Canis lupus familiaris: one gene and its partners. The protein of the gene in region 2 interacts with the protein of the main gene of each other region in a biochemical or structural test. Links are inferred from orthologs where the notes say so. Each region holds a gene or a part of one and is shown on either strand. Other genes may lie near its edges.

The links.
Region 1: the proteins of LRRK1 (region 2) and SCEL form a complex in vitro, tested with the Homo sapiens proteins (2 studies listed by BioGRID and IntAct, with this or other methods). The link is inferred for Canis lupus familiaris from reciprocal best matches to the Homo sapiens genes LRRK1 and SCEL.
Region 3: the proteins of LRRK1 (region 2) and NEK1 form a complex in vitro, tested with the Homo sapiens proteins (2 studies listed by BioGRID and IntAct, with this or other methods). The link is inferred for Canis lupus familiaris from reciprocal best matches to the Homo sapiens genes LRRK1 and NEK1.
Region 4: the proteins of LRRK1 (region 2) and TEX33 form a complex in vitro, tested with the Homo sapiens proteins (2 studies listed by BioGRID and IntAct, with this or other methods). The link is inferred for Canis lupus familiaris from reciprocal best matches to the Homo sapiens genes LRRK1 and CIMIP4.
Region 5: the proteins of LRRK1 (region 2) and BAG5 form a complex in vitro, tested with the Homo sapiens proteins (2 studies listed by BioGRID and IntAct, with this or other methods). The link is inferred for Canis lupus familiaris from reciprocal best matches to the Homo sapiens genes LRRK1 and BAG5.
Region 6: the proteins of LRRK1 (region 2) and BAG1 form a complex in vitro, tested with the Homo sapiens proteins (2 studies listed by BioGRID and IntAct, with this or other methods). The link is inferred for Canis lupus familiaris from reciprocal best matches to the Homo sapiens genes LRRK1 and BAG1.
Region 7: the proteins of LRRK1 (region 2) and CKAP2 form a complex in vitro, tested with the Homo sapiens proteins (2 studies listed by BioGRID and IntAct, with this or other methods). The link is inferred for Canis lupus familiaris from reciprocal best matches to the Homo sapiens genes LRRK1 and CKAP2.

The regions. Positions count from the first base shown.
Region 1 is NC_049243.1:31,258,091-31,260,380, reverse strand, and holds part of SCEL (sciellin), read right to left. Parts: intron 506-2,290; coding exon 403-505; intron 1-402. UniProt on the Homo sapiens protein: May function in the assembly or regulation of proteins in the cornified envelope. The LIM domain may be involved in homotypic or heterotypic associations and may function to localize sciellin to the cornified envelope.
Region 2 is NC_049224.1:40,487,969-40,492,208, reverse strand, and holds the start of LRRK1 (leucine-rich repeat serine/threonine-protein kinase 1), read left to right. Parts: upstream 1-1,440; 5' UTR 1,441-1,457; intron 1,458-4,240.
Region 3 is NC_049246.1:20,498,602-20,502,101, forward strand, and holds part of NEK1 (serine/threonine-protein kinase Nek1), read right to left. Parts: intron 1,592-3,500; coding exon 1,508-1,591; intron 1,084-1,507; coding exon 1,000-1,083; intron 172-999; coding exon 94-171; intron 1-93. UniProt on the Homo sapiens protein: Phosphorylates serines and threonines, but also appears to possess tyrosine kinase activity. Involved in DNA damage checkpoint control and for proper DNA damage repair.
Region 4 is NC_049231.1:28,488,509-28,492,478, forward strand, and holds the start of TEX33 (testis-expressed protein 33), read left to right. Parts: upstream 1-1,170; 5' UTR 1,171-1,328; intron 1,329-1,401; 5' UTR 1,402-1,503; intron 1,504-3,970.
Region 5 is NC_049229.1:71,725,860-71,730,014, reverse strand, and holds the start of BAG5 (BAG family molecular chaperone regulator 5), read left to right. Parts: upstream 1-1,355; 5' UTR 1,356-1,411; intron 1,412-1,693; exon of another isoform or gene 1,694-1,854; intron 1,855-3,433; 5' UTR 3,434-3,461; coding exon 3,462-4,155. Other genes in the region: COA8 (cytochrome c oxidase assembly factor 8), read right to left, coding at 991-1,113. UniProt on the Homo sapiens protein: Co-chaperone for HSP/HSP70 proteins. It functions as a nucleotide-exchange factor promoting the release of ADP from HSP70, thereby activating HSP70-mediated protein refolding.
Region 6 is NC_049232.1:50,590,227-50,593,726, reverse strand, and holds part of BAG1 (BAG family molecular chaperone regulator 1), read left to right. Parts: intron 1-541; coding exon 542-655; intron 656-3,500. UniProt on the Homo sapiens protein: Co-chaperone for HSP70 and HSC70 chaperone proteins. Acts as a nucleotide-exchange factor (NEF) promoting the release of ADP from the HSP70 and HSC70 proteins thereby triggering client/substrate protein release.
Region 7 is NC_049246.1:214,192-218,386, reverse strand, and holds the start of CKAP2 (cytoskeleton-associated protein 2), read left to right. Parts: upstream 1-1,395; 5' UTR 1,396-1,412; coding exon 1,413-1,482; intron 1,483-1,990; exon of another isoform or gene 1,991-2,164; intron 2,165-2,209; coding exon 2,210-2,257; intron 2,258-2,432; coding exon 2,433-2,511; intron 2,512-3,741; exon of another isoform or gene 3,742-3,754; coding exon of another isoform or gene 3,755-3,804; intron 3,805-4,195. UniProt on the Homo sapiens protein: Possesses microtubule stabilizing properties. Involved in regulating aneuploidy, cell cycling, and cell death in a p53/TP53-dependent manner.

The DNA of each region.
Region 1 (2,290 bases), on a different chromosome or scaffold from region 2:
TAAAAATAACATTAAAAAGTATTTAGTGTAATAACCAAATTAGGTACAAAAGTATATTTCAATACAAATACAAAAGGTCATTCACAGAAATGGACTTCAAACAATTATTTGAGCAAAGAAGATCTTTATTTTTGTTTGGAAAAAATAAAAAATGTTCCAAAATAAATGACCTCTTTCCTTAGTTGTATTATGCCTGGTCTGATATCAGGAGATAATAATATATGGTGACTGTTTTTATGCCATAAAATCCTATCATAGTATAAACTACCTTCAGCTGAAATCTTAACTAAATATAATTAATAACATATTTTTACTTTATTGAAATCCCTCATTTCAACAATATTAAGTGCTCATTAATATTATTAGTAAAAGTGATGATTGTTTAAAGCGTGTAACACTTACCCATAACTTTAGAGTAGCAAGGTTCACAGTGTATTGTCTGTCTGTAAATCCAAATACTGTCACCTGCTTGCAGGTTTTCCAAAGGCCGTTTGCATATTTCACACTAAAGAAAAAAACAATACATGAAGTTTACACACATTATATAGGAAGTCTTTATTCTCAGTATATCAGGATAGAAAAGCCCTTTCAATTTACCCAGTACCATCATCCATAACAACACTCAGATGAAAGAGAACCCTCAGGGAAAATGAGAATGTACCTGTCCAGGATCCTAATATTGAACGTTTCAAATAAATTCTCACATCTCTCTACTCTGAAAAATGTGTATTTCAGGGCATATATAGCACTGAAGCTTCTACTTAGTTAACAATACAGTAAATATAAATTTTCAAAAATTGGTTATGCCAAGGATAAGATCACCACTCAATATCTCAAACAAAAGCACAGAGTATATTTATTTGCTTACTAAGGGAGAGTTATGCTGTCCAATAACAGTCTCACTAGACAAAACCAGACTTCTGTTTTTACAGAAGTTTTGTATTGTGTTGGTTATGGAGGTAGAAAAGGGTTGACCTGTGTTCTTTAGAAATAAGTTCACTGCCAAACAGCTTAATTTCAAGCATGAGACTGTCGTTGAGATGACTTTCAGAGGTGAGTTCATGGAAGCAAATATTCACTGATCAATTCGGTATGTTTAAACCAGTCCAGGTGGTTCTCCATAAGAAAGCTATAAGAGTAATACATCTTCTCTGAGGAGTATGGGGACATTTTTATTCTCGGTAGTATTTTATAATTAAATTGAAAGTGGAAATAAATCTTCCAAAATACAATAAATGGAAATTGTTGTTTAACAAATGAAATAATTGGGAAAATTCTCTTATTTTAAGAAGTTTTCTATATGATAACTTTATTTTTTTAAGAATTTATTTATTTATTTGAGAGACAGAGTGAGCAAGAGAAGAGAGAGCACAAGCAAGGGGCAGGGCAGAGGGAGAGGCAGGAACAGACTCCCCCTGAGCAGGGAGCCTGATGTGGAACTCGATCCCAGGACCCTGGGATCATGACCTGCACTGAAGGCAGACACTTAACCAACTGAGCCACCCCAGCACCCTGGATAATAATTTTAAATAAAGAGTTGTAGACTAACTTTTATTTTATTGAGTAAATTTTCATAACTAAAAGGAAATTTCATTTTCTCTTAATTAAGTAATTATGCAATTTTCACATTTTATTTTAAATGGAATTCTCTATATTATGGCCTAAAATTGGATATTTTTTCTCAAAATGAGGCATCATACATCTGATTGCTATGTGTCACTTTCTAAAGCTACCTGAAGGAGAAGCAATCACTTGTCCAAGTATTACAGGTACTTGATCACATTAGATAATGTTTATCAACCGCAGAATGTCAGCACAGAAAGGACCCTTGGATTTATGCAAGTGATTCTTCAATTGGCTGCCCTTAGATCTATCTAAGGAGCTTTTAAAAATGCCAATGCCAAAAAAAATAAAAATTAAAAAAAAATGCCAATGCCCAGGAGTCACTTTCAAGATTTTTTATTTAGTTGGGCCAGTCCTAAGCATTCTATTTTTCTCCTAATTGCCCCCAGATGATTATAATGTACAGCCAGAGTTGAGAACTACTTGTCTAGTCAGCTACCTCATTTCACAAATAAGGAAATGGAAGCCAAGCTAATTAGTTGATTTTCCAAAATGACAGCCAAAGTTAGTGGAAGTTAGAATTTGTACTCAGGCCCTCAGATTCCCTATTCAGTGCTCATCCAGTTACCCCAACAACTGTCAGGTTGACCTACTCAATATTAGGGCGAGAAGTAAAAGAAATGATGTAGGACCAGAAATTGAGGAGTTCCACTATGTAAGCTTATTT
Region 2 (4,240 bases):
AAATAAAATAAAAAAATAAAATAAATAAAATAAAATAAAATAAAATAAAATAAAATAAAATAAAATAAAAAGAGAAGCTGAGTTGCCCAGGCCGCGTTGGCCACATGAGCTCCAGGGTCCTCCCGCCGCCCCTCCCCGCGTGCTGTTCCTCGTGCTGCCACTAGATGGCGGGCCGCGCGCCCCGGAGGCGCCGCACCGCGAATGCCCGGCTCACTCAGCACCGCGACGCCACGCCCTGCAAATTATTAGGGACTTTTCGGTAGCAATCACATTGCTGCTTTTTGAATACTGGAATTAGGACCAAAATATTGAGGACAGGATTGCAAAACCGCACCCACCCTTTTGCAAAGGGCGTTCCGTGGCCGGCGAGCTAAAGGCGCAGCCTCTTGGGAGCAAAGCGAAGCTGCCCCGTGGTGCCCTTGCCAAGGGGCCACTGCTCAGAGTGTCCTTGAGGTCGTGCGGGGGCCCTGCGTCTGCCTGGCGTTTGTGAAATGGCAGTGAGGGTGGTGGCGAGTCTCTGACTTGCGCTAAAGTCCCAGGAGCCTTCCAGTCGCAGCGCAGGAGAGGTCTAGCCTAGGCTGCGGGTCCTGCCGGGCTGTGGAACCATCTGCTTCTTACTGGGCCGGCTTGTCTTCCTGTGGTTGGCACGCGGAGCCAGGTCTGATGCCTGCTGCACGTCCCTGCGTCTCTGTGATGCCGTCGGATAATGGTCTCCGTCGGGTGATGAACATACATATCGGGTCGAGACATAATAAATGGCCAACATTCCAGCATGTTTTATCTACTCCCCGCAGAATTTAAAATGATTCACCCAACAGTGACATCTTTCTATATTCAGCCCCAATTAAATTCTTGTGACGGAAGGGGCACCGTTTGCCAAACTCTAAAGCTAGAAAATACCTATTTCTATCCTGCCCTGCACAGAGGTGTAGGTCAGAGTACAGTCACTGCGAGGCCCTGCCTAACCCATACAAGTCCGAGGTTAGCCCTTGGGTTTTGCTCCGGAGCCCGGGGACGGTGGACGACGCTGCGTTGAGCAGAGAACCGACCAATCTTGCGGCTGCGCCCGCCCCGACAGGAGAAGGCAGGGCCCCCAGACCCGGCGGGGTCCGCGCGCTGCGAGGGCTCACGGGCCTCCGGGGCGCGGCGTCGGGGCACCTCCGCGTTCCGGCTGGGGAAACTGAGGCGCCCGCGTGCAGCTCGCCGGCAGCGCCGCGCCAGCCCCCCCTCGCCCGCGCTCGCTCCCCGCCAGCCCGCGGGCCGCAGGATTGAGGAAGTGCGTCTGGGCCCGGCCCGGCCCCCGCGCGCGCGGCCGGAGGCGCAGGGGGCGGAGGGCAGGGGACGGCCAGGCCTCGGTCCGCGCGCCCAGCCCCGCGTCCCCGGCGCCCCGGCCCCGGCCCCGGCCCCGGCCCACGCCCCGCCGCCCCGGCCCGCCCCCGCCGCCGCCGCCGCCGCAGGTAAGCGCCCGTCCGCCCGCGCCGCGCCGCGCCCCGCCCCGCCCGGGACCCCCGCAGCCCCCTCGGCGCCCGGACGGCCGCGTGCTCCGCCCAGGTGGCCCGGGGAGGGGGGCACCGAGGGCGCGGGGGACCCCAGGCCCCGGCCCCGGCCCCGGCCCCGGCCCCGCGGAGTGGGGGAGGCGGCGGGCCCCGGAGGGCCACCCCGAAACCCCGCGCGGGCCGCGGCCGGGAGAAGGCGCGAGAAGCACCAGTGAGGCCGAGCCGCGGCCGGGCGACCACGGTCTCCTCCGCCCCTGGAGAAGGCTCCTTGCTTCGGGCCGGCGCGGGCCGGGTGTGAGCCGGGTGTGAGCCGGGTGTGAGCGCGAGCGCGCAGCGTGCGGGCGAGTGTGCGTGCGTGTGTGCCGGGGAGCAGCGCCCGCACCTCCCGCCGGGCTGGGGCTGGGGCTGGGGCTGGGGCTGGGGCTGGGGCTGGGGCTGGCCGGGCTCCTGCGCTCCCGCCGCTGCGGGGGAATCCGCCGTCTCCGCCACCCTCCTCCGCAGACACGCGACAGGTCCGCGAAGGGGCCAAGAGGGGAGCCCGGTTAGGTGGGGGGCCGGGGGAGGTGGCGAGGGAGAGCGTGGGGACCTCTGGCCCGCTCAACCTGCCCCTGCCCGTTTGGAGGCCTGGAAGCTTTCTCCCGGAACACATCAGCAGGGGTCGGAGAGGCAGAGAAAACAGCAGCCTGTGGCGAAGGCTTCAGCAAGGCTCTCAGTGAATACACTCTTTCTAGAGGGTGCCGGCCCCTCAACTTGGTAACAAAGTACCCAGACATTAAAGGGACAACTAGAAGAGGTGCCATTTGGGACGACATTAACATGAAATGCTTTTTGTGATTTGACTCTAATTATCTTTGCTTCCGTCCCTGAAGAATTAAAAAAAAAAAATTAAAAACAAAAATCTCACATCTGATTTGTCCCTAAAGGAGGTTTTGGGGTCAGGGAATGAGCCCATAGTCAGCTCACTTGTTCGCCTTTCCTCTATCCCATACCCTCATCCCTTGAATTCTGTGAACCATCAGCAAGTTCTGTTGGGCTTACCTATGTGTCTGGCTGAGTCCAACCTTTCTTTCTCATTGTCTCCACCTTAGTCCAAGGTACCAGCATTTGTTTCCTGCGTGATTACAATCCTCCCCTCTCCAATTCTTTATGTGACAGCCAGAGAGTCTGTGCGTGTGTTTTTTTTTAATAGGTAAATCAGAATGTGTCAATCCTCTGCTTAGAACCCTGCCATAATTTCTCCTTGTGATTGGCATGAAACCCAGGACACCTCCTTCCCCTCAGTTGATATGGAGTCTGGCATCATCAACCACCTGGCCATTGCTCATGCCACCCTCTACCCCACCCCACCCCACCAGCCACCATGGTCCAGCTGGCTCTTCAGCATATGGCCTCTACATGCTGACCCCTGACTCCTCATACTGCCAGCCACCCCCTGTAAGCCCAGCCTCTTTCTCACATCCGCCCCCCCCCCACCCTTGCTGTCTTTTGCAGTCTCCACTGGTATTATGGTCCCTCTTCATCTATTTGCTCTCTTCTTTAATTGCCTGGCACTCTCCTGGAGCTCCAGGGGTCAGAGACCATTCCTAGGCACCAGCATGGCTCACTGCTGCGTCTTCACGCCCAGAACTGTCTGAGAGGTGCCCAGTACACCCTGGCATACAGATTGAATGGCGAATGGACAGTCTTAACTTGTTTGTGGTTTCAGACTCATGAAGGGCTTCTGTTCCCAGACCTTTGGGTGTTCATCTAGGACTGAGATCTACACATTTCTCTGGTCCGCAGCCCCTTGATATTTTGAAGTCCATGAATCCATTACACACATTCTGTAGGCAAGCCGGTATGTGGTCAGAGGAGGCTAGTAGTGCCAAAGGATTGTCAAGGACTATGGGCCAACCATCTCTACCATGCTTTCACTAAAAAGAATTACTGGATTATCTGAGCTGACGTGCTCATTTGCAAGTGTCTTCTAGCTCTTTGGTACTGACAATCCTTTCCAAGCCTCCTGAAAAGACAAGTAAGCAGGTCCAGGGTCTCCTCTATTTCTCCTCAGTCAGAAATTTTGTGGCAAGCACTTACTTAACTGTGCCTTCCCACCAGCTTTAAGTTTCATGAACACATGGAGTTCACTCCTCATAGAAAGGGCCCAATAAAAACATTTGCGGGATGAATGTCAGCTTCCCCTTTTCTCTTTTTGATTAAGCATTCAGTTTTATTCATTACTGCACGTATAAGGAGCAATGAAAAATTGGTGAGGTTTTAAAAAGTATTAAAATTATTACAGAAAACCTCTTGAAGTCCTCTTAAGGCTGTATGCACCACAATGAAAGGAAGACATGTAACTTACAACCATGATTTGTTGCATTGGTCTGAGCCCAAAAGAAGCAGGAAGAAGCAAAGATCCGTTTGAGGGCAAAGATTGAGCAAAAGTTGAGTTACCTCATTTTAAACCTTCTACCTTAGAGTCTAAGCCAACATACAAATTACAGTTGAAAAACTGTGCCAGTGGTAAAATCCTCCATCGGTAAAGAGATTTTCAAAAGGAAACTGAAAATGAAAAGGGGAACAAAATGTGCTGGCCGAGGGTTGGCCTAAAATATTTTAAAGATTTAAAAAAAAAAAAAAAACTTAAAAGCACTCTATGGTAAGACACTTCTGTTTTCAGAAGGCAAGTCTACTAGCATTTGGATTTTTTGAGGTGGTACTGGGTAGATGTGGTAGCTGATTTTAAGACGTTTGAAAGCAGA
Region 3 (3,500 bases), on a different chromosome or scaffold from region 2:
AAAAATTAGGCAAGAGAATAATTATGCAAGACACAATTTTCTACCCTAGGTTGTCATTTTCTCAAAGAAAACCTGTATCTTTCTAGTCTATACCTTAAATGTTTCAACTTTTTTACGCCGCACGTCAGCCTCCTCACTTCCTTCTTGTCCCTCAGAATAATCAGCTTCTTTCTACAAAGTAAGGAGACAAACCACTTAGGACAGAGCTGTGAATCAGGGCAGAGCTCTGTGGAAGATAATATGAATAAACTTACACTTAAAAATATAAAATGGTAAATTGTTCAACACTGCTAATTTTCTCTCACAGTGAGAAGTGAACTATCCACAACTACCAATTCTTATGGACTATAAATGGGAAAAAAAAAAACAAAAATAAAAGGATACAAAATGGCTATGTGTACTACTTATAGTTTTCTCTCAGAATTCCTCTGGAAAAATGCTCTTATCAATTTAAAATCCCATGTATAAAATTTATTTTATTTCTAAGTATAGTTTTCTGATTTTTGACTTTGACTCCATCAGATTCTGTTAGTGGCATAGTATTATTTTATTTTTTTAAAAAAAGGTTTTATTTATTTGAGGGAGAGAGAGTGTGTGAGTGTACAAGTGAGGGGAGGGGCAGAAGGAGAGGGAGAAACAAACTCCTTACTGAGCGGGGAGTCTGATGTGGGGCTCTATCCCAGGACCACCAGATCATGACCTGAGCTAAAGGCAGATGCTTTTGAAGCCACTCAGGTGCCCCAGTAGCACAGCAATTTTAATCTTAATCTATTATAATGTCATTCAATTACTTTTTTAAAAATTATTTTCCGGGATGCCTGGGTGGCTCAGCAATTGAGTGTCTGCCCTCAGCTCAGGATGTGATCCAAGGATCTGGAATCGAGTCCCACATTGGGCTCCCCATGGGGAGCCTGCTTCTCCCTCTGCCTATGTCTCTGCCTCTCTCTGTCTCTCATCAATCAATAAATAAATATTTTTAAAAATTACTTTTCAACCTGCCTTTTCACCACGAAGTTTGGCTTTAATCTGTTGGCGTTCATTGAAATTCTGCAGTCTTATTTGCCTCAGTCTTGCCAGATAAACCTACAAGGAGAGAAAAAAACACACATTTTAATTTAAAGAAAAAAATTATCAGCATTTTTACTGCTTAATTTTTAAATTAAAGAAAAGTGTTAATCTGAATACAAGAAATAAAAGTTTCAAAATCTGGTTAATGGAAAGTGTGATATTAGCTTTCAAGTGTTTAATTTAGAACAACTTATTTCTGAAAAGAAATACATTATAAATTTTTAATTTTATCAAAAGAAAAGAAATTGAACTCAGAATACTGAATATCAGTTATGGGGCAAAATTATGACACAGCATGTCAGTCAAATTATATTAACAGGTCCCTCTAGACCTACAAAATCCTTAAATAATTGTTAAGAATTTAAACCATGCAAGAAAGGAAGGCAATAAACTCAAAAATGGCTATGTGACGGAGGTAGCGAACATGCGGGAAGCATACCTCTTCCTCTTTGTTTCTTGGCTTCCCTCCTCTTGAAGAGCTGGACCTGCCTCCATACATAGCTGCCAGGTTTTGCAGGATTCCCTGTTCATCATTTAATGTACTAAGTTTAAAGAATGACTAAGGCTACATTAGCATCTTACCTAGGAATATCCAGGTGCCACTTTATTTTGTTTGGCAAATACTGATCATTTCTAGCTGATAAACTTAGATAGACCCTAGAATTTTCCTATATCGATATAACCAATACATTGAGAACAGAAGGAAGCAATTAAACCCCATACATAATTATTCAAAACAGAGACCAGCTATGTTTTTATTAGTCATCTAAAACTGCTTTGAGGTTAGCTAAATTCCAAATCAAAAGCTTTGTTCTGTAAAGGGCCAATCATTTCTACACATTTGTTTACATATGCAATACACAGACAACAATATTAAATATTTGAGCTCAAACTCTACATTCAAGCATGTCCTATTACTATACTGCAAGTGATAATTTCAATAACAAGTGTATCATTTTTAACCATAGTTGATTATAAACATGGAATTCTGTCATTAGAAATTATTTTTTTGATTTTTTTTTTTTTTTTTTCTGTGAGAGACACAGAGAGAGAGAAAGAGAAACACAGGCAGAGGGAGAAGCAAGCTCCATGCAGGAAGCCTGATGTGGGACTTGATCCCGGGTCTCCAGGATCACATCCTGGGCTGCAGGCAGCGCTAAACCGCTGCGCACCGGGGCTACCCTGTCATTAGAAATTATTAATATGCTTTAAAAAAGTATCATATTGTCAAACTACCCATCTTCTCTTCCTTCAGCACACAACTATGCTGTAAGATTCTTTTCTTTAAAAAATCCTGTGTCTAATTCTCTAGCTAATGCTTTTTAAGATTTTTTTTTAAAAATTATTTGAGAGAGGAAGAGAGAACATGAGAAAGAGATCACAAGCAGGTGGGAAGGGCAGAGGGAAAAGCAGATTCCCTGCTGAGCAGGGAGCCCAATGAAGGACTCCACCCCAGGCCTGGGACTCTGACCTGAGCCACCCAGGCACCTTAATGTCTTTTTATCAGTGTGTTGAAAGCATACTTTTTATATTCATGACCTCTTCCTATTTGTTTTTTTTTTTTCCTATTTACTTTCTAACCACAATCTGGTTTCTGATCCCACTAAGACTGAAAATGTTTAAGGTTACCACTGACTTCTTAGTTCACAATTCAAATGGACCCTTTTGAATAAACCTTGCAATTAACATTTCCACTGGAAATTATCTTGACTGAATCCATGTAAATATTTTTTCTTTCATAAAAACATATGTTCACTGTAGAAAACTTTTAAATGATTTACAACTGAACCACCTGACACCCCAAAAAGTCGAAGGTTATTCTCTTCCACCTATATGTATAAATACATACAGATTTTATCTTTATAAAACTGGAATTTTACTATAGTTATTCTGGTTTTACTTTAACCAGCATATTAATTAATTTTAATATTCTGAGTTTCTTCTCACATTTAATATCCTTAAAAACGTTTTTTTCTTAAAAACATTATTCTTAATTGACCATATAGTATTCATAATATTCCACCAAATATGTTCTATAATTCACACATTAAAAAAACCTCTCTTCTCTTTCATATTTATAACAGCACTCTCTCCTGGGTTCTTCCAATCAAGCTTCACTATTTTTCACATGCTTTTCTTTTCCTTGGCTCATCACTAATGTCAATATTTTGTAAAGATTCATTCTTTGGTCCTCCTTCTCTTCTCATTCCAGGCTTTAACATATGCTGCCAATTCCCAAATCTCAATCAACCTTGTAGCCCTTTCTTTTTGAACATCTACGTGTATTCAACTGACATCTGGACAACTCCATTTTTTATGTAGCAAAGCTACTTCAATTTATAAACCTGACTTCATCATTCTTTTTACTACATGATCTTATTCCTACGTCAGTTACTGATCACAATCAGCCACCCAAGTCAGCAAGCTGGGAG
Region 4 (3,970 bases), on a different chromosome or scaffold from region 2:
GTGGTCTGGACCTGGGGCCGATGGGCAGGACAATGATGTTGTGGAAGTGGCTGAGGCGGGTGCGAGTCTGGTGTACTTTGTTTTTTCGTTTTTGTTTCTTTAAAGATTTTATGTATTTATTCACAAGAGACATAGAGAGGCAGAGACACAGGCAGAGGGAGAAGCAGGCTCCCTCCAGGGAGCCCGATGTGGGACTCGATCCCAGGACCCTGGGATCACGACCTGAGCCAAAGGCAGACGCTCAACAACTGAGCCACCCAGGCACTCAAGTCTGGTGTACTTTGAAGGCCTTGCTGATGAGTCGCTTACGGGGTGAGCTGTGGGTTACAGGCCACATCTCTCCGTGGTAAGCGATGGGCTAGGCACTTGATGAAAGTGACTGTTCAATTCTAATTCTTACCCTTCACCATGAGCTGTGTCTGTTTCACATACAAGGAAAGTTCTGCCAAAGAATCTGGTCAAAGTCACTCTTTAAGTGGCAGGACCAGACTCAGGGGCCCTGAGTGTCACCAAGCTCTCTGCCTCCCAGGGAGCCCCTGGAAGGCTGGCGTGAGGAGGCCTCCTCCATACCCCCACCCCTGCTGAGCAACAGCCAGACAGGGCTGAGATACTGCGGGTGCCAACTGCAGAAGCCACTTAATTGTTCATCTTTGGTAGCCCTCATGGTTTGAGGGGTGGAGAGCAGAGTCTCATGTCACATCCTGCTCTCATACTTGGTCCCTGATCCCTTCATGTCCAGCTGAGAGAGCTCAGGTGCACCTTTCTCTCCCCTCCCCACTCCTCTTGGCCTATAGCCATGCTCAGAAACACATCCACACCTTTAATATTCAAGTCCCTTCTAAACTGTTTAGCTCCTACGCATCCCTCAAAGTCCAGCTCATGTGGCCCTTCTGAGAACCCTGACTCCTTCCCCCAGTCAAAACTCATCACTCTATTCAATCCTTTGTAGTCACTAGAACTAACTTTCCACCTGATGGCAGCTGAGCCCTCTGTGTCTGACTCCCAACCTGATGCATGTGGGGGCTCAGGAAACATTTTGAGGGGGTGAGAGGGTGAGCGATGCCTGAGGGCTCCTCCATGCCCCACAGTACTGGCTTTCCCCAGCCCAGAGGGGCCCCTGGAGTGGGTCTGGGAGCCCTCTGAGGTAACAGAGCCCTATGAATAGTGGTCACCATGGCGACTCCAATGAACAATGGAGGGGGGCTGCTCCCTGGCAACCACCCAGTGGTCTTCACCAGCAGTTCAGCAGTGTGGATCTGCACTCCTGGGCTTCAGCACACACCAGAGTGGTTCACGTGTTTTCTGATGTTATGAGAGAGAGTGGAGAGGTGAGGCAGAGACCTGTGGGGTGGACGGGGGTCTTCCAGGACCCGGGATTTCATCTCCCCTCTCTCCATTCAGGGCTGCTCGTGAGGGAAGAGTGCCCAGACGCAACGGGACCCCCTTCCCTGTCCTCCTTAACTGATGTCTCTTGGGACTTCCTCTCCAGATCAGAAGCTGGCAGTGAGTCCACACTTCTGCTCAAGCCGGTCTAGGCTGCTCTGGGCTGGGGGTGCCATTAGGGCAGATGGGACACTGCTGTGGGAACATCGGTTGGGTAACTGGAGATGGGGAACCGGGACAGGGCTGACAGCTCACTTGAAGGAGACAGAAGGTAAAGGGCTTGGTTTCAGTGCCACCTGGCTGAGGTCCTATTTCTTTTCTGAGCCTCACTTTCTCCATCTGTGAAAGAGGAGGAGTTATATTTTCTCTGAACACCTGAGTCCTTATGAAGACAGACTAACCTACTAGATGGGAGAATGTGTAACATATGAGCTATATTAGTTATCTCTTTCCATCTAACAAATTGCCCCAAAACTCAGTGGCTTAAGAACACTATTAAAAATTAATTAATTAATTAATATTTTAGAGAGAGGGAAAAGGGCAGAGGGAGAGGGAGAAAGAGAATCCCAAACAGGATTCTGTGTTCAGCGTGAAGCCTCATGTGGGGCTCAATCTCACAACCTTGAGATCATGACCTGAGCCGAAAATCAAAAGTCAGATGCTTAAGCTACTAAGCCACCCAGGTGCCCCTAAGATTTTTTTTTTAATCTCACAATCTCTTTGAGTCAGAAATACAGATGCAGCTCCAATAGGTCCCATATCTCAGGGTCTTCCATAGACTATAATCAAAGTTCAACTAGAGAAGGACCCCTTTCCAGGGCCACTCATATGGTAGGACTCAGTTCCTCATGGATTATTGATCTGAGAGCCTCAATTTCTCATGAACTGTTGGCCAGAGGCCTCCCTCAGATCTTTGCCACGTGGGCCTCTCCAGAGGGCAGCTCACAACATGGACCCTTCTTCTATCAGAGTGAGGGAGCCACAAAGAGCCTGAGAGAGTGTGAACAAGACAGAGTCACAATCTTCTATATTCAATCTTCAATAACCTTGGAAGTAGCTTCTCATCACATATTTAATTGGTTAGAAGCAAGTCAACAGGTCCAGCCCACACTCAAGGGGAAAGATTAAGCAAGGGTGTGAATTCCAAGGAACAGGATCCTTGGGAGCCATGTCAACTGCCCAACTTGGTGGCAGTTGGCCCTCTTGGCCCTGATAACATACATTGTTTCCATATGCAAAATACATTCATTTCTGCCCTACGATCTCCAAAAGGTTCATTCCATTACAGCATCAGCTCAAAATCTAGAACCTGGCTACAAATCAGGCCTGGGTGTGGATGAGGTTCCTTGAGTGTGGTTTCTTGGACTCGGTCCTATCTCCCCATCAGTAGATATTAGGAAACTGAACTATCTGTTCTGAACACACCACTATGCAATGAATGGTGTGGCTGACCTGGGATAAGGGCTATGAACATCCCTATTAAAAACTGAGGACACTGGAGACACAAAGGAGTCACTGGTCCATAGCAGTTCTGAAATCCAGCAGGGATTGTTGAACTTTTCCTGATTGGGTTTCAAGGCCTGGAAGTAATTCTCCATGGCTCTCAGCTCTGCCCCACAGGTCCTTGCTTCCACTCTCTAATTTTTTTTTTTTTTTTGAGAAATAAAAAAAGGATAGCACATGTGTATGCTGAGTAGTTTTTTTTTTAAGACTTTATTTATTTATTCATGAGAATACACAGAGAGGAGAGAGAGGGGCAGAGACACAGGCAGAGGGAGAGGGAGAAGCAGGCTTCATGCAGGGAGCCTGACATGGGACTCGATCCCAGGTCTCCAGGATCACACCCTGGGCCGAAGGCAGTGCTAAACCACTGAACCACCAGGGCTGCCCATATGCTGAGTAGTTTTGTCAGACTCTTCTGCTGGTAGATTTGAGGGTCCACTAGACTCCATTTTGTACCGTCTGTCCCTTTTGCTGCAAGCTGGTAGTACTTTTGTTAATATGGTTTTCTCCAGAACTTAAGCCTACAGGGGCTTGACAACAGCTCTGCTCCCCTCTCTGGGACTCCTGGGAAGACACAGCACCTCTAGGTTTCCTAGACGACCTATTACCCCACTGAGGGGGGCGATCTGTGAGGCGCATCCTTATCTCTTTAAAGGGTCCTTTGTGTGACTGAATAATATGCTCTGAGCTTTTTATCTTTATAAGCTTTTCACAAAAGGTGGTACAGTCACAGCTTTGGCTACCTTTTTTGGATGGTGCTCTGAAGCTATTTCTTAATTTTAGCCTCTTTTGGCACCTGGGGAGGATGAGAATTTCCAAAACTATTAAGTCCTGCCTCTTTTATGTTTAATGGTCCTTCCTTCGATGCTTTTGTCTCCTGTCACATTTCACTACAAGCAGCAGGAAGAAACCAGGAGGTGCCTTCCATGCTTTGCTTGGAAATTTCCTTTGCTAGATCCCCTGGCTCATTAGTCACATGTTCTGCTTTCCATATAACCATCAATGACAGTGTCACTAGGTTCTGTTACTACATAACTCGGACACGGCTCCCTCAAGGTTCTGAGAACATGTTCTTTGTCTGCAC
Region 5 (4,155 bases), on a different chromosome or scaffold from region 2:
AGTATCTTCCTGCCCTAAGACTGAGACACTGGACGGGTTTCTAAGTTGTAGGAATAGAAGTCACAGTTGTGGCCACTGTCACAGGAACTAGGCCAGAGGTGGGGGCGGGGAGGGGGGGTTGACCAGCTGCCCCGCCAACTTCTTGTCCAAACTATAAACTAAACAGAGGGCAGCCCGGGGTGGCTCAGCCGTTAAGCACCTGCCTTCAGCCCGGGGCGTGACCTGGAGACCTGGGATCGATCCCGCGTCGGGCTCCCTGCATGGAGCCTGCTTCTCCCTCTGCCTGTGTCTCTGCCTCTCCCTCTGGGTCTCATGAATAAATGAATACAATCTTAAAAAAAAAAAATAAAAATAAACTATAAACTGAACAGAACTTCAAAACTACATTTATAAAAAGCATGCTAACAGCAAAAGACTAACATAGACGAAAACTTACAGGCAGGCACATTTTGGAAGTCCTGCTTTTTTACCCCAGGCTTTCCAGCCTCCACCCTTAGCCTGTTGGCAAATTCCGTGTTTGTGTGCGTAGGCTTCGTTTAAATATTTCGTCTGCAGCCCCACGCTTCCACGTGACAGCTGGCACTCCGTGGACGAAACACCCTTCCCCTAAGAAGTGCAATTCCTAAAAACGGTCCTTCTTCGTTGCTACAGGTACCCCCGCTAACCTTCCACCCGCGCCTCGCACCTATGCGCGCAGTTCTCCAAACCAGAGCTACGCCCCGGCGGCCCTGCAAGACACGAGGCTCGGGGGCGCGGTCGCTGGCGGAAGAGCGCCCGGAGCCACGGCGCGGGCCGAGACCCCGCGTGCGCGCCAAGCGCTGCAGCCCAAGGCCCCCGCTCGGGAAGTCCCCGGCGCGGCGGCCCCAGCACAGCCGCGGGCTCCGAGGCCCCCCCCCCCCCCCCCCCGCGGCCCGGGAGCTGGGCGGACGCCGCGGCCGGCCTCGACGGGGCGCGGAGCCCGGCGCGCCGCCTGCAGGACCCCCAGCTTACCCGGCTCGCCGCCGCCTCCCTGCGCTCCGCGCCGCGCTCGGGGCCGAGCGGACAGCCGGGGCGAGCAAAGGCGCGGCACAGCGGCGGCAGAAGCGCCCTCCTCGAGGCCCGGAAGCCCACCATGCCCAGCGTCCCCCGGCTGCCGCGACGCACGGCAGAGCCGCGCCGGCGCGAGGGGCTGCCTTACGGCACGGTCGCAAAGCCAGCGGGAGCGAGCGGCGCGGCCGACCGTGCGCTTTCCCCGCGGCTCCGCGGCCAGCTCCGGGCTGCCGTGCCGGGCGGTGGTGGCGGCGCGCGCCGCAGGACGTTTTCCCAGGGCGGGGGCTGTTCGGCCCGGGGCGGGGCCGCGGGGCGGGCGACGGCGACCGCGGCGGAGTCCTGCGCGTCGGCGGCGGGGCGCGCGATGGCGCGGGCGGCACAGGTGAGCGCAGCTAGGCGGCTGGCGGGCCGCGGGCCTCCCCGTGCGCGCCCCCCGCCCCCCGCCCCCCGCGCCCGCGCCCGCTCCCGCCGGGCCTGGGCCTCGGCCTCCGCGCCGCTCCCCGCCCGCGTCCGACGCGGCCCGGCTCCCCGGGGGGCTCGGAGGCCCTGCGAGCGCGGCCGCCCCCTCCCGCGCGGGCCATTGTGAGGTCAGGGCCGGCGGGCGCGTCGGGGGCCCGGGCGACACGCCCGGAGCGGCGGCTGCGGCCAGTAGCTGCCGCGCCACCGCCGGCCCCCTCACCGGCCGCCCGGGCACACCCAGCCGGCAGGGGTGAGAGGGATGCAGCTGGGGCCCCGCTCCGGTGCCGCACCCCGTAAAGGGCTGACCTGCCACCTCGCCAGCTCCCCGCGGGCAGCCAGGACCAGACCAGCGTAGACCTCCTCTGGGTAAAGTGCTGGCAGGGGAGGGCGAGGGGGGGAGGCCGGGGCCCCGCCGGCCGCCCGCCCTCCCTCCCCCGAGAGCGGGCCGACGGGCCTAGGGAGGCACCAGCCCTCCGGAGGCCAAGCTGGTGCCTTTAACACGGTGCCGGTCACCTTCCCTTCCTGGGGGATCTTCGCCTCCGCGCGGAGGGTCTTCGACGTCCTCGGAGGGGCGGGGGAAACAGGGTGGCCGGGGAGGAGCCCCGAGCGGCGGGGAGGAAGTAGAAGCGGGGCCTGGGGGTCGCTGGGATCCGCTGCTGTTTGTTTCACTTAGACTTCCGGGTTTTGTTCTGTTTTTTCTATTTTTTTTTTTTTTTTAAGATTTTATTCATCTATTCATGAGAGATACAGAGAGAGGGAGGGAGAAGCAGGCTCCACGCAGGGAGCCCGATGCGGGACTGGACCCCGGGTCTCCAGGGTCACGCCCTGGGCCGAGGCAGATGCTAAACTGCTGAGCCCCCGGGTGCCCTCCAGTTTGTTTTGAAAGCAGGCATAGCTCTCGGGCCAGGTGGGTGCTGGGATGGCACTGTTAGCGTTTGAAGGTCAAAAGAGCAACTGTTGCACGTTCCACAGGGGTGCCCTGCTGTTGCCAACAACCAGGGTCCAGCGTTAATACCTGAGATCCTTGTGCTGTTTCCACCCCAGTAGTTGACCTCGTGCCACACGTGTAGAGACCCAGGCGAAGAAGTTGGGAAATCAGGCCCAGGGCTCCAGCTCGTTCTGCACTGCAGTAACCCCTGTCCATTCCTTTTTTTTTTTTAATTTCTATTTATTTATGATAGTCCCACAGAGAGAGAGAGAGAGAGAGGCAGAGACACAGGCAGAGGGAGAAGCAGGCTCCATTCACCGGGAGCCCGACGTGGGATTTGATCCCGGGTCTCCAGGATCGCGCCCTGGGCCAAAGGCAGGCGCCAAACCGCTGCGCCACCCAGGGATCCCACCCCTGTCCATTCCTAATCACAGGGGTGTGTAGGTGATCTTCAAGAAAGTGGATTACTCTTTCCATACTTGAGTATGACTGCTGTTTAGATCACACTAAGGATGGGCCTTAGTGTGATCTAAACTCAAATGCATCTTTTTTTAAAATTTATTTTATTTAATATTTATTTATTCGTGAGAGACACAGAGAGAGAGGGGGGCAGAGACACAGGCAGAGGGAGAAGCAGGCTCCATTCAGGAAGCCCAATGTGGGACTCAATCCCAGGACTCGAGGATCACACCCCGGGCTGTAGGCAGCACTAAACTGCTGCACCTTTGGGGCTGCCCGTTTTTGTTTTGTTTTAAGATTTTATTTATTCACAAGAGACACCAGAGAGAGGCAGAGACACAGGCAGAGGGAGAAGCAGGCTCCATGGAGGGAGCCCAATGTGGGACTCGATCCCAGGACCCTGGGATCACCCCCTGAGCTGAAGGCGGTGCTAAACCACTCAGTCACCCGGGCGTCCCTCAAATACCTCTTCTTAAAATGAGAATTTCGGAATGAATCAATATTTGCTTACCTGTCTGTAGAGTCTTTGTGTAATTTGGCATTCTTGTCATTTTTTAGTGCTTGTAAAACGGAACACAACAAAAGTATGGATATGGGCAACCAACATCCTTCTATTAGTAGGCTTCAGGAAATCCAAAAGGAAGTAAAAAGTATAGAACAGCAAGTAATTGGCTTCAGTGGTCTGTCAGATGACAAGAATTACAAGAAACTGGAGAGGATTCTAACAAAACAACTCTTTGAAATAGACTCTGTGGATACTGAAGGAAAAGGAGATATTCAGCAAGCGAGGAAGAGGGCAGCCCAGGAGACGGAGCGTCTTCTCAAAGAGCTGGAGCAGAATGCAAACCACCCACACCGGATCGAAATACAGAACATCTTTAAAGAAGCCCAGGCCCTGGTGAAAGAGAAGATTGTGCCGTTTTATAGTGGGGGCAACTGTGTAACTGACGAATTTGAAGAAGGCATCCAGGATATCATTCTGAGGCTGACACATGTCAAAACCGGGGGGAAGATTTCTCTGCGGAAAGCACGGTACCACACCTTAACCAAAATCTGTGCGGTGCAGGAGATCATCGAAGACTGTGTGAAAAAGCAGCCTTCTCTGCCACTTTCCGAGGACGCGCACCCTTCAGTGGCCAAGATCAACTCGGTGATGTGTGAGGTGAACAAGGCCAGAGGCACTCTGATCGCACTTCTGATGGGGGTGAACAATAATGAGACTTGCAGGCACTTATCTTGTGTGCTGTCGGGGCTGATTGCAGATCTGGATGCTCTAGACG
Region 6 (3,500 bases), on a different chromosome or scaffold from region 2:
CTCCCTGGGTTGTGGTAAGGCTTAAAATAATAGTACAGACAAAGGTTTAGCATAGTAGAGGGACTGCTCAACAAAAGTAATCATCCTTGTCCTCGTCCTCATTAAATGGGAGCGCTCAGTTGGTGGGTAGCACTTAGGAATTCAGTCAAAGGAATGGCAGAATTGCACCTGTCTCACCAGGTGGACTCCTCACGGGTGTCCACTGTCCTTTGTTCCCCTTGGAGGCTTCAGTCTGGAGTCAGCTGCTGATCAGCCTCAGGCTCGGGTTGAATCTGGCACTTGACTTGGCTCCATTCTCTCAACCCAAGCTGTCTGGGTCCCTGCAGAATGTTTACTTAGTATTTCTCTCTCTAGTCTAACGTCTTTGTGGGTAGAAAACATTCATGGGTAACTCTCTAGCTTTCCAAGAAGCAGCAGAATCAAAGCTATTTTTTTTCCAGGTGAGTGGTTTTAGCCCAATTGTCATTAGGTTTTTTTTCTTCCCAGTCAGAAGCTACTATTTTTGGTGATTATTGACTTCATTTTATTCTTAAACATTTAGAACAGTCCAGAGGAAGAGATTGAACTAAAGAAACTGAAAGATTTGGAGAAGTCTGTGGAGAAGATAGCTGACCAACTGGAAGGATTGAACAAAGAGCTTACTGGAATCCAACAGGTCACTCTTTTTGGGGAGATACAAATGTGTGGTTAGGGCAGGCTCTCTAGTCTGGATTCCCTGGGTCCAGATCCTGGCTTTACCCTCTATCACTGTGGGCAAGTTTCCTTGTCTCAAGTTCCCTATCTATAAAAGGGGAAAATGATGGTACCTCTCCTTAGCATTGGTGTGAGGATTAAATGATGCAGTTTGAGAGGTACCTGGCTGACTCAGTTGGTAGAGCACACAACTCTTGATCTCAGGGTTGTGGGTTCAAGCCCCACATTGGGCATAGAGCTTGCTTTAAAAAAAATTTTTTTTTAATGATGTAGTTTGAGTCTGACACATACTAAGTGCTTTTATAAGTGTTATTGTGTGTATTTTTTTTTAAGATTTTATTTATTTATTCATGAGAGACGCAGAGACACAGGCAGAGGGAGAAGCAGACTCCATGCAGGGAGTCCAATGTGGGACTCGATCCCGGGTCTCCAGGATCACGCCCTGGGCTGAAGGCAGCGCTAAACCGCTGAGCCACCCAGGCAGCCCTTATAAGTGTGATTGTCATTGCTATTTTCAAACCACAGCCTGCATCCATTTGTGCTCTTAGGAGAGTACCTGCCATGCCAGGGGTCTTGTATTGTCTGTAATGGAACAGGTAGCTTCTCCTAGTCCCAGCTGTTACTTGTTTAGCAAGACAGAGAACATTGTTGATCTAGAAAAGGCCCAAGTTGAGCTTGATCTTAGCTGAGGCAGGGGTCATTCTGTTCAATTCCTTGTATAAGAGAAGGGATACTAAAATTAGGCCCAAACCACATATTTCTTTTTGTTCCCTCTAATTTTATAATGTTAATAGATGTATGTTTCTGTTTTAGTTACAAAAGTAATACATGCCCATCGTATAACTTTAAGTAAACATATGAGCACTAATACCTATAAAGCCCTGACTCAGAAGATAACCAATACTAAAGACTAGAATATATTTTTGCATTTAAAAAAATTGATATAGGGCAGCCCGGGTGGCTCAGCGGTTTAGCGCCGCCTCCAGCCCAGGGTGTGATCCTGGAGACCAGGATCGAGTCCCACGTCAGGCTTCCTGCGTGGAGCCTGTTTCTCCTTCTGCCTGTGTCTCTGCTTCTCTCTCTCTCTCTGTGTCTCTCATGAATAAATAAATAAAATCTTTAAAAAAATTTAAAAAATAAAAAATAAAAAAATTGATATAGTATTATGGACACTCTGTAAATTGTTCTTTTATTTGATTAAAAGAATTAAACATTACAAAAAAAAAAAAGAATTAAACATTTTCTTATGTCATTAAAAATGTTCATACTTGGGACAGCCCAGGTGGCTCAGCGGTTTAGTGCCACCTTCAGCCCAGGGCCTGATCCTGGGGATCTGGGATCGAGTCCCACATAGGGCTCCCTGCATGGAGCCTGCTTCTCCCTCTGCCTGTATCTCTGCCTTTCTCTCTCTCTCTCTCTCTCTCTCATGAACAAATAAATAAAATCTTAAAAAAAAAAATGTTCATAGTTGGGGCACCTGGGTGGCTCAGTTGGTTAAGCATCTGCCTTTAGCTCAGATTATGATCCCAGAGTCCTGGGATCATCAAGCCCTGCATTGACTTTGTGCTCAGCAGGGAGTCTACTTCTCTCTGTCCCTCCTCCTGTCATGCTCGCCTGCTCTCTCTCTTTTAAATAAATAAAATCTTAAATGATCATACTTATCAAACCTTGCATAGCATTGTAACATATATGAATATATCATGATATCAATATATATACCTAACAATTCTTTATTGTTCATCACCTAATGTTATTTTACCATTATGCATTAATGCTTTTCTGAACATCCTTGAATATAAATATTTTTTTACCATTTCCGATTATTTTTTGGGCGTAGAATAAATTCTTTGACTTGGAATTGCTGGCTAACGTTTAAAGCTTTCATTGCAGGGATCCCAGGGTGGCTCAGCAGTTTAGCGCCTGCCTTCGGCCCAGGGTGTGATCCTGGAGTCCTGGGATCGACTCCCACATCAGGCTCCCTGCATGGAGCCTGCTTCTCCCTCTGCCTCTCTCTCTCTCTGTATCTCTCCTGAATAAATAAATAAAACTTTTTTTTTTTTTTAATTTTTATTTTTTTATGATAGTCACAGAGAGAGAGAGAGAGGAGAGAGAGGCAGAGACACAGGCAGAGGGAGAAGCAGGCTCCATGCACCGGGAGCCTGATGTGGGATTCGATCCCGGGTCTCCAGGATCGTGCCCTGGGCCAAAGGCAGGCGCTAAACCGCTGCGCCACCCAGGGATCCCTAAATAAATAAAACTTAAAAAAAAAAAAAAAAAAAAGCTTTTATTGCATGTGGTCAAATCTACATCTGATAAAATCTGCAGAGATCCTGGCTGTCTACCCATTGTCACCAGCTAACTGGTCACTAGGCCAAGCAATGTGACTACATAGCAAGATAATTTAATAAAAACAATGTAAATGTGGCTTTTTTTTTTAAGATTTTATTTATTTGAGAAAGAGAAGTGTGCGTGTACACAAGCACACAAGCAGGGGCAGGGGGCAGAGGGAGAAAGAGAATCCCCAGTGAGCAGGGAGCCTGATACAGGGCTCCATCCCAGGACTCTGAGATCATGACCTGAGCTGAAGGCAGACACCTAAGTGACTGAGCCACCCAGGCACCCCAATGTTGCTGTTTGTTAACACATGTCTGTGTCAGGAATTATGTTAAGAGTCTATATATATTTCTCTTTATCCTCCTAGTATCATAATCTGGTGTGGGTATCATAATCTCCATTTTAAAAATGAGGATATTGGGCAGCCCCAATGGCTCAGCGGTTTAGTGCTCCCTTCAGCCTGGGGTGTGATC
Region 7 (4,195 bases), on a different chromosome or scaffold from region 2:
AGATGGGGGTAATTGCTATGTTGGAAAACCTAGCAGTTTTGCAGGATTTCCTACCCACCATCTCAGCCTACGACCTCTCCACAGTTTTCTTGAGTCACTATTTTTTAACAACGCCCATTTATTAAAAAAACACACACACTGAAATTTACATAACACAAATCATTTTAAAGTGAACGGCTCTGTGGTCTCTCCCCATTCCCCCCTACTCCTAACCCCTGGTAACCACCCATGTGTGTCCATTTCTCTGTGGATTTACCTATTATGGATATTTCATAGGGAATCATACCATATGTGTGACCTTTTGTGGCTGGCTTTCACTTAGCAAAATGGCTTGGAGGTTCTTGAGTCTTTTTAAAACTGTTCTATTTTGTTAAACTGTTCTCTGTTATTTAATGGGAATCCCTGGTTACCCAGCCTGTCTGATGAAACTTTAGTACATAATTGACAATATTAACAGTAATATGCCAACAGCAGTGTTGTCTTAGGGACAGTGTCTTAGTGTTGGGTGCTGACTGGCTGTTGGTTCTTCCAGAATTGGCCTTAAGTGCAAAGTTAGACAACTACACTTGACATTTCATCAAGAAAAAAAACCCCAGAATATTCCAAACTAACTTCCTTATTAGCAAGATGCTACCATACATTCGATGCCTTTAGGAAAAAAGCAGAGAAAGATAGGAAGAAACGGGCAGTGGAGAGCCAGCTCTGGAAGCTCTCAGACCTGTGCAGGAGATATAAAAATTGTCTCAGTCTCCATGCTTAAAGCCCGGCTCAGTGATTAAAGCGGCACCTTTTGTGGGACCGTCCACCGCACTAGGTTCCCTAAAGTGTGGCTCCTGTGTGCCGCTTTAGGGACAACCAAAGCAAACCTTCCTGCATTCGGGACAGGGCACACGCTCACCTGCAGGGTGCCTGGAACACGGGTTCCGAGGGAAGCCACTGCGTGGGCATAAACAGCCGGACCGCCGGAGGAGGAGTCAAGCGTGGCCACGAAGCCGCGGTGCGGAAAGGGGACTCCCCTGCTCTCGGGACAGCGGCGGGTGCTTCAGCCTCTTCAGCCTGCGCGCCCTGGTTTACTAAGCGCCGCCAACCACACTTTCCTAGTGGGCCCTCCTCCGTGCGCTGTGAACGTCCACGGACTAGTCCCAGCCGCCACGCAGCAGGGACCTGGCAGCCGGCTCCCCGCCCTCCTCAAGGGCGCCACTGACTCGGGAGCAGGAGGCCTCTGTCGCGGCCGGGACTCCGCGGAGCAGCCTTCACCGAAACAGGGATCTCCAGCTGGCCCCGCCCCCGGCCCCGCCCCTTGGCGCCCATTGGCTGATTCAATTGACGCCGCGGCTTCTGCGGCCCCGCGTGCTTCACTGGCGGCGGCGGCGGCCGTGAGAGCGCAGACGCGTCCCGCTCCGCTGTTGGCGATGAGCGGCCCAGCCGTGCCCCAGGAGCTGCGGCTGCCCCCGAGCCAGAGCCCTCAGCCCGCGTTCAGAGGTGAGGGCCGCGGGGGCCGGGGCGGCGCAGCCCGCGGGCGCCTGGTTTCCCGGAGGGGCCGGGGCCGGGGCGGGGGACGAGGGCCACCGTGGGCGAGAGAGGGGCGCGGACTCAGCAGCCGGGGCCTCGAGTCCGCCGACCAGCGTCAGCCCTGACCAGACGCGCGAGAGCCCCTGGCAGCTCACCCGGTCTTTCAGCTGCATCCTCCGTTTTTGCGCATTGGACCGCGGAGAGGGGCCCGGGCCGTGGTGGTTGTGTGCGGGCTGAGCGCCTCCCGTGCGGTCGTCCCTGGCCGGGCGTGCCCCTCGGGTGGCGGGGACGGGCCCGCTGAGGGACGGTGCGCGGCCCTCACCTCTCCGGCGGCCCGGGCGTCGGCGTCGGCGTCGGGCCCTCGGGACCCCTGCGAGTGGGCGGGGCCGCGCCGGGCTGGAGGCGACTGCGCTTGCGCAGGGCGCTCCCGCCTCCTGAGTGGAGAGCCGGTTTTTGGGGAGAGGTGGGGTTGCCTCTTCTGAATCTGCTTTATGGATTCTGGGTTTGGCTGGGTTTTCAGAAATCATATTGTTCTTTGCCCTGCACATGGGAACACAGAGGAAAGACTCTCACCCAACCCAGTTCTGGTCGATTAGAACTTGGAGTCCAGTGTCTCAGTTCTGCTCCTCAGTTTCCTAAAGCTTGGCTTTCGGTAACCATATGTTGAAAATATGTTCTCCGTGTTTTTCACTTTCAGACAAAAGAGAATGTGATTCTCGTGAAGTGGTTGTGGGAAGCTTTTATGGTAATGATCTCTTAAAAAATGGGATTATTTCTCAAAGCCAGTACTCATTGAGATATTTCCTGTTTGTAAGGTGTGATCTCTAGTAGGTCACTTTTCAAAATGAGATGTTCATTTAGTGAATATTTATTTGATAATGTTATAACAAATGTTGACTTGTTGCTTTTTTGTCACTTAGAACAAAAACAAAAACTCAAGGAACGGATGTTACAAAGAAAAACGTTTTTTGCATATAAACAGGAAAATCATATATCCAGGTGAGGTCAAATTTTCTCATTTCAGATCTATAAAATTAGATCAGAGCTGTCTAATAAAAATGTCGTGGGAACCACAGTTGTAACGTAATTTAAAATTTTCAGGGTAAAAAAAAAAAAAAATTTTTTTCAGGGTGCCTGGGATGCTCAGGTAAGCATCCCACTCTTGATTTCGGCTCAGGTCATAGTCTCAGCATCCTGAGATCAATCCCCCACTTCAGGCTCTCCCCTCTGTGGGGAGCTTGCTTGTCTCCCTCTCCCTCTGCCCTTCACCCTGCCTGTTCTTTCTTTCTCTTAAGTAAATCTTTAAAAAATTTTCTAGTAGCCATATTTGAAAAGTCTATTTATTTAACAGAATATGTTATTTAAGAGAGAGCTGGGGGTGGGGGTGGGCAGAGGGAGAGGGACTCCTCGCTGAGCATGGAGCCTGAGGTGGGGCTCAATTCCAGGACCTTGAGATAATGACCTGAGTTTATCTAAGCCACCCAGGTGCCCTCTGGAAAGTCTTTTTAAAAGATGAATTGTGATAACATTTAATCCAGTATATCCCGTGTTATAGTTTAACATGTAATTCTTGAAAGTTATTGAGATATTTTACTATTTTTTTTGTGTGTGTGGTGCTGAGTTTTCAAAATCAGTGTCTGTATTTTACACTTTCATACGTCAATTTGGACTAGCCACATTTCAAGTGTTCAGTAGCCATACCTTCTTGGATAGCACAGCATTTCCTGTGTAAATTAATTCAGATTCTCAGATGAAACAATTTTAAAGCAAAGTGTTTGTATATATTAAATCATTGACTTATGGTCTATGCAGCGCTACAAAGGTCAGTCTTAATTTAGCAAGGTTTATACTCAGTATGTTTCGGGGGCTGGGACATGGATGGTTATTCTTTGGGAGGTGGCTCCCCCAAAATGTTTAGAGATTATTTGTTTTAGTCTCAACCCTGGATAGGAATATCTAGGTGTTACTGTGGTAAAATTTTAAAAGTAGTACATAGTTGTGGCAAAAGAAAACTCCGTGGAGGTATATAAAGCAGAAGATCAAAAGGCCCCCTCCAGAGATAACTGTTAGTAACAACCTTTAGGCCCTTTCTGTGCATTCTAAGGGCACTGGCTTTAGAATGATAAGGTCTGAACTCTGTAAGTCTGCTACTATAGCTGTGTAACCTCAGGGGAGTTACATGGCCTCTTAGAGTCCACTTAACTTCTATTAAAAATGGATAATTGTGTTTCTTGGAGATTAAATGAGATACAGAATGCATTGTGCTATGCCTGGTATATGGAGAGAACCCCAGTAAGTGGTAGCTGTTATTTACTGATCTCACAGTGGCTTTACACACAGAGTACTGGTTCTTGAGTTACTCTATTCTGGTTTCTTTTCGTTTCTCCAAACCGTTATTGCTATGTGTTGTCTTTGTAAATACTTAATACCCTTCCTCATGGTTGAAGGTGGTCAGATGGTGCTTATATTTAGGAGGTACAGATGCCAGGACTTGGTGATGCTGGATTAGGTATGGATGGGACATCTATAGATTTGATAACTACTATGGTTATGTAAGAGAAAATCATTATTTTTTGAACAATGAAGCATTTAGGGTTTAAGGGTAATCATGTATATATCTGGAAAGATTCAGGTAGAAAAAATTGCATATACTCCACACATACACATGTTTAGAAACAATGCA